Linked DNA regions of Pelodiscus sinensis. Each later gene encodes a partner of the first gene's protein in a complex. Links are inferred from orthologs where the notes say so. Each region holds a gene or a part of one and is shown on either strand. Other genes may lie near its edges.

Evidence for each region.
Region 2: the proteins of CAST (region 1) and calpain-2 catalytic subunit are in contact, whole or in part, in a crystal structure (PDB 3BOW), measured with the Rattus norvegicus proteins. The link is inferred for Pelodiscus sinensis from reciprocal best matches to the Homo sapiens genes CAST and CAPN2. Residues at the interface, in NP_445747.2 of Rattus norvegicus: Glu571, Leu572, Asp573, Ala575, Leu576, Asp577, Glu578, Leu579, Ser580, Ser582, Leu583, Gly584, Gln585, Arg586, Gln587, Pro588, Leu596, Asp597, Asp598, Lys599, Val600, Lys601, Glu602, Lys603, Ile604, Lys605, Ala606, Glu607, His608, Ser609; in NP_058812.1 of Rattus norvegicus: Glu62, Leu63, Ser68, Lys69, Gln99, Gly100, Ala101, Leu102, Gly103, Trp106, Lys161, Asp162, Leu165, Leu166, His169, Ser196, Gly197, Gly198, Thr200, Ser241, Asp243, Ile244, Thr245, Asp249, Ser250, Glu251, Ala252, Val253, Val259, Lys260.

What each region holds. Positions count from the first base shown.
Region 1 is NC_134716.1:70,618,667-70,626,641, forward strand, and holds the start of CAST (calpastatin), read right to left. Parts: upstream 3,249-7,975; 5' UTR 3,022-3,248; coding exon 2,947-3,021; intron 2,405-2,946; exon of another isoform or gene 2,273-2,404; intron 1-2,272.
Region 2 is NC_134713.1:155,231,770-155,239,595, reverse strand, and holds the start of calpain-2 catalytic subunit, read right to left. Parts: upstream 3,132-7,826; 5' UTR 3,003-3,131; coding exon 2,766-3,002; intron 1-2,765. UniProt on the Homo sapiens protein: Calcium-regulated non-lysosomal thiol-protease which catalyzes limited proteolysis of substrates involved in cytoskeletal remodeling and signal transduction. Proteolytically cleaves MYOC at 'Arg-226'.

The DNA.
Region 1 (7,975 bases):
GATCTCCATAGAGTGAAGCACAACAAATATTCTTCATGATCAGTAGACAACCAAAAGTTTTGGGGAGACATGAATCATAACTTCAAATGAAGTCACAGGCAGAATTTAGGTAGACAGAATAACTATTTTTCGTGGTGGAATCTGGCCAAAACAGCAGACTTAACATATAGGTTTCTTGTGAAGAGATGTAAGATGTTCAAATACCTGTTTACCCGTCCTTCTCCAGCATCTCAGTGTCCTTAAAGCAATACTGAACTACAGACCAAAATAGAATTAAGTCCTGATTTAACTCCCACTGACTTCAGTAGACGTTGGATAAAGCGCTTAAAGAGAGAAGCACTACCTAATGTATCATGAACAGTACTTCTAAAAAAAAAAAAAAAAAAACCCATAAACCATAGGTGTTAAGCTTTCCACCAGGACCAGAATTATACTGTTGGTATATGAGAAACAATCCCTGTCATGGTTTAGAGCTAGCTATACGTTTGACCTCTCTTGCTCTCTATCCCCCTCAGGAGTTAAGCCTCTTGTCATCAGCTGGCCTGGGGTGGAATGCTATGATTCTTCCACACTTAGATGATCCCATGAACACCCCTAATGAATCAAACATGATTATTCAGCAGGCCTGAGGGAGTTCATGCCATGCAAGTCTTCCCTTTGGAAGTTCTGATCAGTGGTGAACAACAACATAAACAGCCTTTGCAAAACAAAATAGTGTTTAATCACAACAATAGGAATAAAACATAACAAGAGAAAAGGGGGTCTAACATAAGAAAGAGGGCCACATACATTTCCATTACATAAAGATTGGGCAGGCTTATCTTGTCCCACCCTCTGTTTTGGTTGAATGGATCTACATAAAGCGTCTGTACTGAGGGTAGGGCAAATTCATACACCCCTGTACAGGCAGTCCCAGAGTTATGCGGATCCAACTTATGTACGAACCGCACTTACGAACGGGGCTTTTCTCGCCCCGGAGGATGCGGCCGGCGGGACCGCCCAGACGCACCGAGGTCCCGCCACCCTCGTCCTCCGGGGCAAGCAAAGCTGCTCCGTGTCTCCCTGGTCTGCTGGGGGGAGGGGAGCGGGCAGCAGACCAGGGAGACGCGGAGCAAAGCCATGGAGGACCCGGGCGGCGGGAGCGTCCAGAGGCGCCGCGGTCCCGCCCGGGTCCTCGGCGGCTTTGCTCCGCGTCTACCTGGTCTGCTGAAACTGACCAGCTGCTGACTACAGGAAGCCGGAGGCAGAGTTTCTCTGCCCCGGGCTTCCTGGAATCAGCTGCTGGTCAGTTTCAGCAGCAGCTGAATCTGGATGCCAGTTCCGACTTAAGTACAAATTCGACTTAAATACAAACCTACAGTCCCTATCTTGTATGTAACCCGGGGACTGCCTGTAATTTTACTGAATGCAGTAGAGCTACATAAGGCCTGCACCATCTGTACTTTTCTAACCTTTAGCACGAAGGCTTTCCCATTCACTACATCTTTATTACTGATATCTATATTGATACTAACTTGCATGGGCCACACACCCTGCCTAAGAGATTAAAATCCACTGTCAGTAGCAGAGAAAGCACTCTCTATTTACTGTGACATACCAACAATGTGCAAAAGTCATGACCAGAACATAAAAGGGTCCGTATTTTCAAAAGGTTGTAAAAATTAACAGCAACATTCACAAAGCTACTTTTAATGTGACAACTTCACTAATGAATTTATGCAAGTCCCTGTGAAACTGCAAGGCATGTACTATAACAGATTATCTAGAGAAACTAACATCTACTTAAAAAGTTTCAAAGTATCAAATCATCTTCTACACAAAACTATACTTCTTTACTAATTTAAGTTGAATATAGTGAGCACTTTAGTTACTTGATCCGTTCACTGTTAGTTACTATTCTTCTGAACAACATAATCAATGCATCAGTGTGTCTAACTTAACATGGAATCAGGCTGGCTCCTAAGTCCTTTCTTGACATAGCTAACAGTTGCTTCCTCATTCCTTCCCCTGCAGTCCCAAATACTTTAAATACTTTTAAAAAACAGAATACAACAAATCTAAGCTGCAAAAGTGAGCCCGATGGTACCTCACATGCCAAAAACAGGGTGAGTTTCGCAAACAGAGGGTGGGGCAAATTAGGCTCTCCCATTCCCTACACCCTTATTGCTGAGACCCACAGTGACACTCGCTGGCAAGGGCCACACGCCCTGCCCAAGAGATTAAAATCCACTGTCAGCAGCAGAGAAAGCGGCCTCTATTTACCGTCACATACCACCAGCTTGCAAAGGCCATGGTCGGAACGCGTTCCTCCTTCAAAATAGCCCTCTCCTCCACCGCCCAGCCGGAGCGATTCTCAGCGCAGTCTCAGGGCGGTAGAGCCAAGCTGGGGCTGCCCCAGCTGCTGGCGCTTTGGCACTGGCTGCGGGGCGGAGCTGGAGCTCCAGGGCAGGAGCAGACAGAGGAGGGGCGGGCGAGGCCGCGCCCTCCCACTCAGTCCTCGGTGCTTTAGGAACAGCGGGACAGTCCGCAACACGCCCCACTGCAGCCCGCCTGCCCCGCAGCAGCCCTGGGGAAAGGGCAGCCCGGCCTGGAGCGCCCTCCCTGCCTTCTGGGGGACTAGGGCGCTGCGCGTCCCTTCCCCCCTGCACCGGGCCTGCGCTGGGCTCTTCCCTTCCCACCGCTCTGCCAGGCCCCTGGGCTGTCACCACACCCTCCCCACAGACCGCAGCGGGGCTGTCAACCTCTCCCCCCCCCCCACCACCGCCGCCCATACACGCCCGTGGCCGCAAGAGGACTGAGCCGGACAGTCCCCTTCCCCCCTTGCGGGGCGCTGGCGCATTCCTCTGGCCTGGCACGCGCAGCAGGCAGCAAGCCCCGCTGGCACCCCAAGCCCGGGCGCGGAGCTCTGGGCGCCGCCCTAGCCCGCGCCCTCGCTCCCACACTTACCGCTCTGCTCCCCTTGCCTGGAGCCCCCGCAGGCTTGGAGGAGGGCGGCTTCTTCCCTTTACTTGGCTGAGACATGGCCGCGGCGGCTCCGTGCTCGGCGCCTCTCTGCGCAGTGTTTACGGGGCGCTGCGAGGGGCAGGGCGAGGGGGGCAGGTTACATGTAACTGTGAAGCAGCTTTTCCGATGCACCCAGAGCCAACTAGGCTGAAACCCAGCAAGTCCCTCCTCTTCCTGCAGCTTCGGCTGCTATGACCAGCTGCTCTAACTGCACCAGTCCTCTGTCCCGGCTCATCCCCGCTAAACTCAGTGTTTGTTGAGAAGGAGGGGACACCTGACTGGAAGAGGCTTGGGGGTGGTTTTGCTGCTTGCTGGGGCATACCTTGCTGGCTTACTTGCAGAATGCGGCCTGGGCGTAGCCCTTTTGGCGCTCAGAGCTGAGCTCGGATTTATGTTCCTTTTGGTGATAAGAAAGTATAGGGGAGGAAGCCATAAAATTCAAATCCGTAACAGAATAGTTTCAAGAGGGGTTTGGATCAGACCCAGAATTTTGGTTTGGGCCTATCCTGTCATTGCTATTGGCTCCATGTAACAAAATTGGTTGCCTGAAAAAAATAGCCATCACACATTTATTTCTCCTGTCAGTTTTGTGGTTTTAGGTAGTAAAATAACTTAAAATGTTAGCAAACCTGGATCTTTACCCAAAACTCAAGCCAAGTTTTAATTCCCCCCCCCCCCCCCCCCCCCAGGTTTTGAGAAGAACATTGGAAAAGGTTATCATGTTAGGTTTATGTCTCTTGTGCTCTTCCTGAATGTGGCTGCAAGTGGAAATATCAAAAGCAGACTAGAGATTCATGAGATTCTAGCTGAAGTTTTTCCCCATATTCATTTCAGTAAGCATCCACACTTGAAGCCTACTTCTGAAGAGGTGCTTGAGCCATTCACAACTTTTTTCTTGGAATCATGCCTCTAATTGTTGTTCAAGCCTTGCTGAATTTAGCTCAGTACTTGTTCCAGAAAGGATTTTATGTTCTTGTAACTCAAAATCATCAATCACTAATCTGTTAAATTTCCATATCAGTGAATGCAAAAAAGTTCATTCTATCTATTTATCAATCTATCTATCTATTTTTCTGGTCAGTATAGTTTTAATGGGTCTGACCAATATCCTGCAACATACAAAACAACAAAACCTTTCTTTTTCTTATTAAAAAGAAACTATTAGGTTTCAAATGTATATATTACATTTTTAACTGTTGCTGCTACAACTTATATTTATTAGATCTGAAAGAATTTTTGAAATCTAATTTTAAAATGTAAATTCTAAATGCAAACCCTTATGTAGAAGGCTGGGCAGTACATCAGCAACTTTTCTTAGAGGAGAAACAACTTATGGTCACTCAAAACTCCAGCATGCCCATTTGGCTCTGATCCAAAGTCAGGGCATCATTTGTGACTCTGAATGCATGAACACCCCCCAAAAATAAGAATTTAATTGAGTCTAGAATGTGAAAAGGTGTACGTGGAAATGAAAATCCATCACTTTAATTATTACCTTCCAAAATAAAGGGAGATTAAAGATATAAGTTTAATGGGCTAGCATATATGTACGCAGCTTGAGTAAAATAGATGGCTACGTCTACACTGGCCCCTTTTCCGGAAGGGGCATGTAAATTTCACTAGTCGTCGTAGGGAAATCCGCGGGGGATTTAAATATCCCCCGCGGCATTTAAATAAAAATGTCCGCCGCTTTTTTCCGGCTTTTAAAAAAGCCGGAAAAGAGCGTCTAGACTGGCCCCGATCCTCCGGAAAAAGTGCCCTTTTCCGGAGGCTCTTATTCTTATTCTAAGAATAAGAGCCTCCGGAAAAGGGCACTTTTTCCGGAGGATCGGGGCCAGTCTAGACGCTCTTTTCCGGCTTTTTTAAAAGCCGGAAAAAAGCGGCGGACATTTTTATTTAAATGCCGCGGGGGATATTTAAATCCCCCGCGGATTTCCCTACGACGACTAGTGAAATTTACATGCCCCTTCCGGAAAAGGGGCCAGTGTAGACATAGCCAATGTGTTCTTGGGGAACTCTAGGCTATTGGAGCAGTAGCAATGCCTCTCTATTTTCCCATGATTAAACTTTGTACAGTAGACCAGGACTAGGTATGCCTCTCTACCACATTATAACAGCACCAGTTTCACCAGCATTCAGGACTTTCCACAGCTTTCACATGGGCTCAAGGATTTGGCCCAAAGCAAGACATTTCCTGCCATGGGGGCAGGGGACTGGACTCGATGACCTCTCGAGGTCCCTTCCAGTCCTAGTATTCTATGATTCTATGATTTCACTGGGTCTGGCAATAACAGCAACATTGTCCCACTTTAAGCTGTAAACAGCCAAGATGGGAAATGGTCATTCCTGAGAAGTGGCTTGTCTTGAAGAGCTCAGAAATGCATAACCATTCTTCCAGGAAACCATACTGATTCTAACTGAGTCTGGGGGTTATAGAGACCAGTCCATCAGGAACTCAACGTTTTCTATTCTGAAGAAGCAATCAGAGCAACTGGCATAACATTCCTCAAAGATTGTAGCAATTTGGATGTAATTAGTAATTTGGGAGGAAGTGGGAAAAATCTATTCCAATTGTTTAAGTGAGTTTTGTTCTGTTATATTGCTATTCAGTTTCAAATAGGAAGAAAAATATTTACATTAAAATGAAATTGTGTATTACATTCTTATTAATACATATGTAATATTAAATATAGCTTATCTAAGTTTATTCTGGGAGAAGTCGACAATTATTGTAGATTTCAAAATACTGAATATATTTAAGCATATTAATACTTAAGATAAATATATGAAATAATTGTGGTTGTCTTGTATAATTGCAATGATTTAATGTAAAACTTCATAAATTTATCTTTTTGCTTTGAAACTTTTTACATTTCCAAGAGAATTTTGATTGTACTATAAACCTGCTTGCAAAAGACAGATACAGAAATTAAAAGTACTCTGAGGGCCTGATTCTGATCTCACTTACCCATGTGTGTAACTAACTAGAGATGTGTCAAAGCATGTGTGTATAAAATAATTGTACAAAGGTAACTGCTATAAAGATGAGTGCATGTGTGAGATACAGAGGAGAATGGAAGGTTGTGGGGCTAGTTTAATATGAAAGTTTAGCAAGTGCCTTTTGTGTTTTAATTTTAAAAATAATCCCTTGGGTCTCACCAACAGGTCGGACAGATTGTACTGCATTCCTGAGGCTGCAGGACATGGGATACTCCCTGCTGACACTTTGGCAGAAAAAGAAGGAAGCCTAAGTACCACTCCTTTAATTGTGCTGCCCTGATGACAGTCATCTGAGCTCAGAGACAGAAATTAGGAAGCAAACTATCAGCAGCATTCATGATTAGACAAAAATATGTGTGAAAAACACAATAATTTGAGTCTCAATTGATCCTGCCATGTGCTCAACTCTCAGGTCCTAATCCAGAGGCAGTGTTAGCCCATTGGGTACCCTAAGCAGGAATATTTTGGCTTCCCCAGTAATAAACAATAATTCATAATAATTAATAAAGTGAATAGCAGGCACCCTTGAGCTGCTCAGGGCCCTAATTAGTCACTTAGTCTGTTTATGCTAATTCTGGCTCTGCCTTGATCCATCAAATCACTCAGGCTATGTCTACACTGCACACTTATTTTGATTAACTTACATTATTTCAAAATAAAAGAGTGTGCATCTACATAGCAAGCCTGTTATTTCAAAATGATTTCGAAATAATGGGCTTCTTACCCTGACTTCTGTAACCCACATTTTACGATGAGTAAAGGAAGTTGAAGGAAGAGTATTCTATGCAAACAACACCAAAAGTCAAGTTAAGGTACATAGCTGAAGTTGCATATCTTAACTTGACTTTAGCCCTCAGCTTAGATGTACCCTCAAGCTCGTGCTTACATAAGAACAGCCATATAGAGTCAAACCAATGTTCTGTGTAGCCCAATATCCGATTTTCTGATAGTGGGCAGTGCCTGGTGCTTCAGAGAGGATGAACAGAACAGGGCAATTGTTGAACGATCCATCCCCTATTGTCCAGTCCAAATTGCTGCCAGTCAGAGGTTTAGAGAGATCTAGAACATGGGGTTGAAGCCCTGACCATCTTGGCTAATAACTGTTGATGGATCCATCTTCCAGCACTTCATCTAATTTTTTTTCACCCAGTGATAATTTCAGCCTTCACAACATCCATATGAAGAGGGATTAGAAAGATTGGAACTATGCTGATTGGAAAAGAGATGACTACAGAGAGCTATGATAAAGGCCAAGTACAAGGAAGTGAATAAGGAAATGTTATTTACATCTTCATATAACCCAAGAACCAGGGGTTAGTTATTGAAATTAATAGGTAGGAGGTTTAACAGCCTGTGATTGCCAGGATCACCACTGAAGCATTTTCTAAAAAAAATTATGTTACGTTAACTATTCTCCAGTTTTCTGGTACAGAAGTTTATTTAATAATTCTACAATTTTTTATTTGAGTTCTTTCAGAACTTGTGTGAATGACTTATTGTTTTGTTTATCAGTTACTTAGCTTAAGTATGTAATGGTCCCACTGAAAGGTTAATTAGGCACATAAATAAAATTTGAAATATCTCTCAGATAAATACTAAGCCAGTAACTCTAAGAGGTTTCACAATAGTTGCAGATTTATAGTGTTCCTAAATTAGAGTGTGTGTTAAGAATTCTTAAATGTCTAACACAAACAAGTGTTTTGTGAATACCAAACATCCACATCTGTATTTAAGTGTGTGTCAAAACTTGGACAACTGAAAAATGAGTATAATTCTAATTACAAATTTGGAGGTTATTTCTGAAAAATTGATCCTGAAAGCCTCAAAAACAACGTATGCAGCTGCTAAAATTTCCAGTAAGAAAGGTACCTAAAAGGTATCAGCTACCAATATTGTAGTCAACATGCTTTTTGGCACACCTTCACATGTCCTGTGTTCTTGATCTTATAGGAATAAATACTGTGCATGCATA
Region 2 (7,826 bases), on another chromosome or scaffold:
ATCCTGCAGTTGGTCCAAGGAGGGTGAGGCTTTGGGGGCTGGCCCCAATCTCCAGCTTCTCCCCCCCCCCCAACCTGCAACTGGTCAGGGAAGGCAGGGTTCTGGAGGCCAGCCTGGCATCCAGTGCCCCTCCAACTTGCAACATTTCTGGGGATGGGCCGCGTTCTCAGGTTTGGTCCCTGATGGGCGCAGAGACAGCAGGGCTGGTGTGCATAGATGCCCCTCCCTTGGTAGCACTGTTTGGGGGCAGGGGGCATTTATGTGCTCTGGTGGCCAGTCATATGGCCCAGGTGGCCACTCCGCTGCCTCCCCATTCACTCTGCATTATAGCTCTCTCCTGTGCTTGCTGCCCACAGTGCTCACTTTAAATAAAAGTCTCCTATAATCAGCCCCCTCCCTTTCCATGTCATGGAAAACAGTCCCATTCCAGGCACGTCACATTTCCCTGGGGCAAACAAACCCAGAACTTCCTTTAAGCTATGACAAAAGGAAGCCACATATCAAATTTGGTGGTCCTAGGTCTTACTGTTTAGGAAGAGTTCTTGAATGAACAGGGGTCGGTCGGTCTCTCCCTATATATATATATATATATATATATATATATATATATATATATATATACACACACACACACACACACACACACACACACACACACACACACAGAGAGAGATAAAAAGATACAGTGCTCCTGTCAGCAAATTGCAAGCTATCTGCCAAAAATTAAATGTTTTGAAGTGCCTTAGTATCCCCTGAAATCGCAGTTAAAGTTGCCACCTCCTCCAAATCTGAAGTGGCACCACTGTCCAGAGTGGTTCCTGAGTAAACAGAGGCCTTTGCGGCCAGCCCCTTCATAGGAAAGCATATTGATTGGGCTTTAGTTGTTTGGCTCTTAGCCCTGAAGGATTTTTCCATTTGTTCTTGGAGCAGTTTCAATGCTCTTTTGGGGCCATTTTCAGCCAAATTCCTCCATAATGTAGCTCCTACTACACCAAGGATGAATGTGGCCCTTTGCAAAAGGTGCAAAATTCTGAGTATTTTGACCAACTTTATTCCTCTGTACCCCTGCAAAAGGTAGGCAATAAACAAAGTGATAAGGGATGCTGCACAGCTGGTAGGAAAATATAACCTCCCTGTATCAATCAGGGTAGAAAGAAGGGGATCTAGAAAGTCTAGGGGGAAGGGTGCAAATAGGGAAACTGAAGCAAGAAAGACTCTCTCAGTGACTGGTAAAACGAAGAACGGAGCAAGCAACATTAGTTGGCTGAAAAGAAGGAAAAAGAATAGATGGTAATGGAGATACAGTCCTTGCAATACCTCTCAAACTTGACAAGTATATTTCACCAGAGACCTGTGTAGCTGTAGAGGGGAGTGGATCTGAGGGTGGGGACAGTGTAGGAGCTGGGACATGAATTCATACCTGTTTACACCTGTTCAATATGAACAAACCATGCTGAATTAGTTATGTATTTTGGGAATGCAAACAAATGAGTTAACTCACAGCAGAGAACAGCCTCCTGGCACTATTACATATTTAAAAAAAGCTGTTTTCAACTGACCACATTGTGGGAGGGCAATAGAATGTGAATGAGGATTATTGAGTCTTGCCCTTCATCGAGTTTTGCACGGAAAACCAGTCATTGCCTGGGTGGCTTCAAATACTGACTCCTGTCTTTAAAGTAAACACAGTTACTGTGTTGAACTCAAGATGAGCCAAGAGCAAGGTATCTGGAATAAACATTAAATAGCTGCAGGAGGAAGATCAGGACCCAAGTTTTTATCAACATAGCTCCCCTGACTTCTGTGGGGACACTCCTGCCCTACAGCAATATAAATAAGAGGTCCTTGAAGTGAATCTGTGAAATTCAGAGACTTAACCTTCATGTTTATTAATAAGCATCAGCACTGCAAGCCCAGACATTTCCATAGTTTCCATAAACTTTTTAGCTACTTTTCTAGCCCAGAGAAGTTTAAATAAATCCAAACAGAATTAGCACTTTTTTAACTTTCCCATTACACATCGCTGAGCCATTAGTGCATCTGCACTCTTAGGTCCTGGCCGAGGGACTGCCCCATGCATCTCAGAGGTGCCTCCCTTGGTCCTTTAGCAGGCTGCTCCTATTGAGTAGGAGTCAGTAAGGTGCATTCTTCGGGGGGGGGGGGGGGGGGGGAGGTTTTCAGGCAACAGACAAGCTTTCGCTGCTCTGTGTGCTGAGCTTGGGAAAAGTACGTTCTTCCTCCTCGACTTCGCAGCCTGGGGCTCTGTAATTCATGCAACTTCCCCCTCTCCGGTTAAGAGCAGCATTTTTGCTATAACCTAGTCCGGTGTCATTTCATCTCTTGCAGCCGGCTCAAGACAAAAGTAGAGCCTTCTGCTACCGATCCCCAGCCACGTTGGGGTGGTCCCAGCCCAGAGGCTAGGTTTGGCTCGTTAGTAAAGAGAAGGCCCGAATGCAAAACGCAAAGCAGGTGTCCCTCCCCCACAACCCACACACACCTGGCTCCTAAGATTCAGGGGTCAGGGGTTACGATGAGGAGGCTGGGCTCCTCTGCAGCTGTCGTTGTGCACGGAAAAGTCCAGCTGTTATTTATAGGCATCTCCCTGCCACCAACATTCCCCCTTGGTATGGGGGAGGGGGGACAGGAGCCCCCCCATCACCGCAGCCTTCCCACCAGCCAAACACGCTCAGCTCTGCTCTGCCCTTCACACCAATCCCCTGCTTCTCTGTCCCTCCTCCCTCACCCCCGGCCGGTCGCGCCCCTACCGTTGGTCTCTTCCACGTGATGCCCTGAGTTTTGTACGAGGTGGGCCCCAGCTCCTGGTAGCCCAGGGAAGAGGGGACGGCGGGGAAGGCGGGGTCCTGGAAGAGCGCGCCAGCCTGCAGGCACTCGTCCCGCAGCGCCTCGAAGTCCTGGCTGAGGTATTTAAACGCCTTCGCGTTGGAGCCCAAGCCCCGGGCTGTTTCCCGCTCCTTCGCCAACTTCGCTGCCATCCCTGACATGGTCGCCTCTGCCGCGGCGAGCGCGCTGCCCCTGCTCGGCGGGGACGTGGGGAACCTGAAGTAAACAGCAGCCAGACCGGCTGGTGAATCATCCGTGGGGGAACTGCTGCAAAAATTGGGTGTGGCTCGTGCTTAAAGCTGCAGCCTCCTCCTAGTGTCCGTAGGGCAGAGATGCACAGGGCGAGCTGCAGCACCACCCGCACCCCCACATCTTGCCTGTTTTCTAAGGTGGGATCCTCCTGGCTGGGATGTGCCTGGCCACTACCTAGTCCCCCCTCAAGCAAGTGTCCTTTACACTTGTCCGTTGTAGTGAACAGCCTCCTCACCCTATCAGAAGTCGGCAAAACCTGGTCAAAACCTACTTTGAAGTAGGAATAAGAGCCTCCGGAAAAGGGCGCTTTTTCCGGAGGATCGGGGCCAGTCTAGACGCTCTTTTCCGGCTTTTTTAAAAGCCGGAAAAAAGCGGCGGACATTTTTATTTAAATGCCGCGGGGGATATTTAAATCCCCCGCGGATTTCCCTACGACGACTAGTGAAATTTACATGCCCCTTCCGGAAAAGGGGCCAGTGTAGACGTAGCCCAGGGCTATATCTAGACTGGCATGATTTTCCGCAAATGTTTTTAACGGAAGAGTTTTTCCGTTAAAAGCATTTGCGGAAAAGAGTGTCTAGATTGGCACGGACGCTTTTCCGCAAAAGCACTTTTTGCGGAAAAGCATCCGTGCCAATCTAGACGCGGTTTTGTGCAAGAAAGCCCTGATCGCCATTTTCGCGATTGGGGCTTTTTTGTGCAAAACAATACCGTGTTGTCTACACTGGCCCTCTTGCACAAAAGCATTTACGCAAGAAGGCTTTTGCCCGAACGGGAGCAGCATAGTATTTCCACAAGAACACTGACAATCTTACATGAGATCATCAGTGTTCTTGCGGAAATTCAAGTGGACAGTGTAGACAGCTGGCAAGTTTTTCCGTAAAAGCAGCTGCTTTTGCGGAAAAACTTGCCAATCTAAACGCAGCCCAGGAGTCAAAATCCTATCTGGGCTATCACTTTGTCTTGGTGTCTGGCCTGGGTTATCAACAGGAATAAAACTCACACCCTGGCCTCTATCACTTAAACTAAAGGGGACACATGTACCACCTGTCCTGACTATAAAGCTTGTATTTATTTCATTTCCTCTTTAGCTCCTCCATTCCAAAAGTGGCTGTGCTGTGTTTGAAAGTGATGGAAACTGTGCTGCTTATGTTTTGTCACATGCTTTGGGAGCCTCTGGAATTTAAGGGGATTATTGTCACCTTTCCTGTTAACACATTACATTTTGAGGGGTTCCTTAAATCTTGAAACATTTGCTATTGATGCTGTACAAAATACCCAGGAAAAGGAGCAAACTTAACATTAGGGTTATGTCTATACTGCAGGCTTCTTGCAGAAGAACTGTTTTGTGCAAAAGTTCTTGCACAAGAGTGCGTCCACAGTGGTCAAAGCGCATCACAATAGCAAAGCGCTTTTGCACAAGAGAGCGACCACATTGGTGGGACGCTCTTGGGCAAAGACCTCCCTCCCGGAACCACTTCAGACAGGGCAAAAGGGCACCGGGACCTTCTGGGGGCGGAGGCTGGAGCTCCTCTGAGACATGTGCTTAAAGCAATCTCCCTGGACAGCTGTTTCTCTGCTGCTGCATGCTTTGGGACTCCTGGTAGGGATTGAAAGCTGTAGCAGTTCCTGTTGTGGTTGCCCTCTTCCTCTTTGGACACCACAGCTTGTGCGCTAGTGCTTTTGGGGACTTTTGCCTTCTTGCTGTGCCATGGAGCCAGGGATGGCCCTGTGCCTGCTCTGGCCCCACACTGTCATTTTGGAGTGCCTGCAGCTGCTGCTCTATGCTGCCTCACTACTCCTGCACAAGCTCAATGCCGAGCTCACTCTGGACTCCCTCTCCCTGGATGTGGCGGCTTCACTGTGGCATCCCTTCCGCACTGTGGAGAGGCGATACTGGAGACTCGACACCAGTTCCGACTGGTGGGACCGGCTGGTCCTGGAGCAATGTGATGACTAGCAGTGACTCCACAACTTCAGGATGCGGAAGTAGATGTTCCTGGAATTGTGTGGCTGGCTCACCTCTGCGCTCCTCATAGGCAACACCCTGCTGCGGCCCACCATCCCTATGAACAAGAGGGTCGCCATCGTCATGTGGAAGCTCGTCACCCCAGACAGCTACCACTCAGCGGCACACCAGTTCGGGGTGGGCAGGTCCACAGTGGGTGCCGTCTTGATGCAGGTAAGGCCCTCGGGGGGGCTGCAGTCCCTGCCCAGGGGAAGGGAAGACTCCAGGCTGTGGGAGCCTGGGAGGGTATGGGGGAAGCCCTGTCACCCCCAGGGGCTTGTGCCGTTCCTCCCTCACATAGGCCTGTCTGGTGTGTGTGGATGAGGCTCCGGGGCAAGGGGGCCCTAGCGTGTTTGGTGGGGAGAGGGCATCACAGGAGGGCAGGCACCCCCCCAAGGGCTTATACACCCACCCTGCCCCATTCTTGTGTGTTCCCTGTGTGCCCTTCTGCAGGGTGTCTGAGCCATCAATGACATCCTCCTCAAGAGGGTCATCCGCCTGCGGGACGTGGACGCAACCATGACTGGCTTCACTGCCCTGGAGTTCTCAAACTGCGGGGAAGCCATGAATGGGCTTCCCATCCGGGCACTGGAGCATTGAGCAGCCCACTTCATCAATCGGAAGGGGTACTTTTCAATGGTGCTCCAGGCCCTTGTGGACCATCGTGCCCACTTCATGGACATCTATGTGGGGTGGTTGGGTAGGGTACATGATGCCTGCATCCTCCGAAACTCTAGCCTATTTTGCAGGATGGAAGCGGGCACTTTCTTCCCCCAGCAGGAATTGACGGTTGGGGACGTCCACATGCCACTGTGCATTGTGGGGGACACGGCCTACCCTCTCATGCTGTGGCTGATGCAGCCATACACTGGACACATGGACCCTTGCCAGGAAACATTCAACCAATACCTGAACCGGGCCCGCAACCAAGTGGGGTGCACCTTCAGACTGCTGGGTGGGCAGTGGGAGGGGACTCCCAATTGGGAGGGGGAGGAGGATGGGACTCTCAACTGGGAGGGGAGTTCTTGCTGGGAGGGGCAGCTCTTGCCAGTGCCTCTGCGGGTACAAAGGCTTCGGCGTCCTTCAGGCCGGGTTGGGGCAGGCATCACAGGGAAGTAGGCAGGATGGGTGCCAGGCCATGCCAGAGTGCACAGCATGGCTGATGTGCGACATGAGGGTGGAGATGGTGTCACACATGAGATCGCAGTGTTGGAGGAACTGGCCCAACGCCTGCTGCCACCAGAGGCGTAGCAAAGGGAGGGCATGGGGGGAATTGCCCCTGGGCGCCACGCTAGGGGGGCACTGGGCAGGGCAGGGAAGGGGGAAAACTAGGGGGAAGGGCCGGGAGAGGAAGGGGCTTGTGCGGAAGGGGAGGTGGATGGGGTGGGAGAGGAAGGGGCTTGTGCGGAGGGGGAGGGAGAGGAAGGGGCTTGTGCGCAGGGGGAAGGGGACGGAAAGAGGAAGGGGTGGGAGAATAAGAGGCTTGTGTGGAGGGGGAGGAGCTGGGAGAGGAAGGCACCAAGGGACAGCCTGGAGGAGAGACAAATGCCAGGGGGCCAAGTGGAGACAAATAGGAAAAGGGCAGGAGAGGAGGTGCCAGTGGGAGGGGGGACAGGGTGATGCTGGGAGAGGAGAGGGTAAGGGCATTGGGGGCCGGAGGGGGAGGTGCTGGGAGAAGGCTTAAAAGAAGGGGTGGGCATGTGAAAGGTGGGGATGGAGCAAGGCATCTGTGAGGGCACAGAGGGGCATGAGGGCAATGGGGGCAGAGAGTGGTGAGGGGGTGGGCATCAGGGAAAAAGAGGGCAAAGGAGGCAGGGGCAATGAGGAAAGGGGGAGGCACCAGGAGGATGCAGGGCTAAGGGAAAGTGCAGGTGCCAGGGGATTCTGGGGGTGAAGCAGAAGGGCAGACACCTGCAGGGGAGGGACCAGCACCAGAGCAGAGAAGCAGGGCAGGTGTGTAGAGGGAGGTGTTAGGAGAGGGAATGAGGAGCGGTAGCTCACATGATCAGAGTGGGGCTACTGGAGGAGTGGGCACAGGGGGGAGTGAAGGGCTGGTGGAGGGGGGCAGGTCACAGGAGGGCGGAGGGCAGTGAGAAGAGCAGGAGTCAGGACAGCAGAGGAGGGTGAGGAGCTGAGGGGCAGCAGGCACCAGGGGAGCTGATGGAGCAAGGGGAGGAGACATGGCAGCAGAGAGAAAAAGTAAAGGTTTATAAAATATTTATTAATAACTTGGGTTCCACAATGGCACATCCAAACAAGCCCCATGAACTCAGTACTGGTGCACAACACAAAATTCATTCTGCTCATGGGAAGATGCAGTACAAGTTCCCCTCAGCTGTGCACCAGGTTCAAGGCTGTGTCACATGGCGGCAGGGGGGAAGGGGTGCAAATTTTTCCTTTGCCCCCAGGTGCATAACACCCTCACTACGCCTCTGGCTGCCACCACTCCATGTCAGCCCGCAGCTTGCTGCTAACCGTGTCCCCCATCCGCTCCACAGCCTGGATGTGACACGGGAGGAGCAGATCGCACTGCCTGGCTTGCCGGACTGGTGCCTGGGTCGTTGGTGCCACCACCGCAGGGCTGGAGGATCCCTCGCTCCCCGCTGGTTCCGCTGCAGAGAACGCAGAAAACAGAGAGGCAGTCAGTCATCCCTGCCCACAGTGTCCCTGAGCCCCAGGCCCCCTTCCATGAGCCTCACGTTACACCACACCACAAGCCCATCGG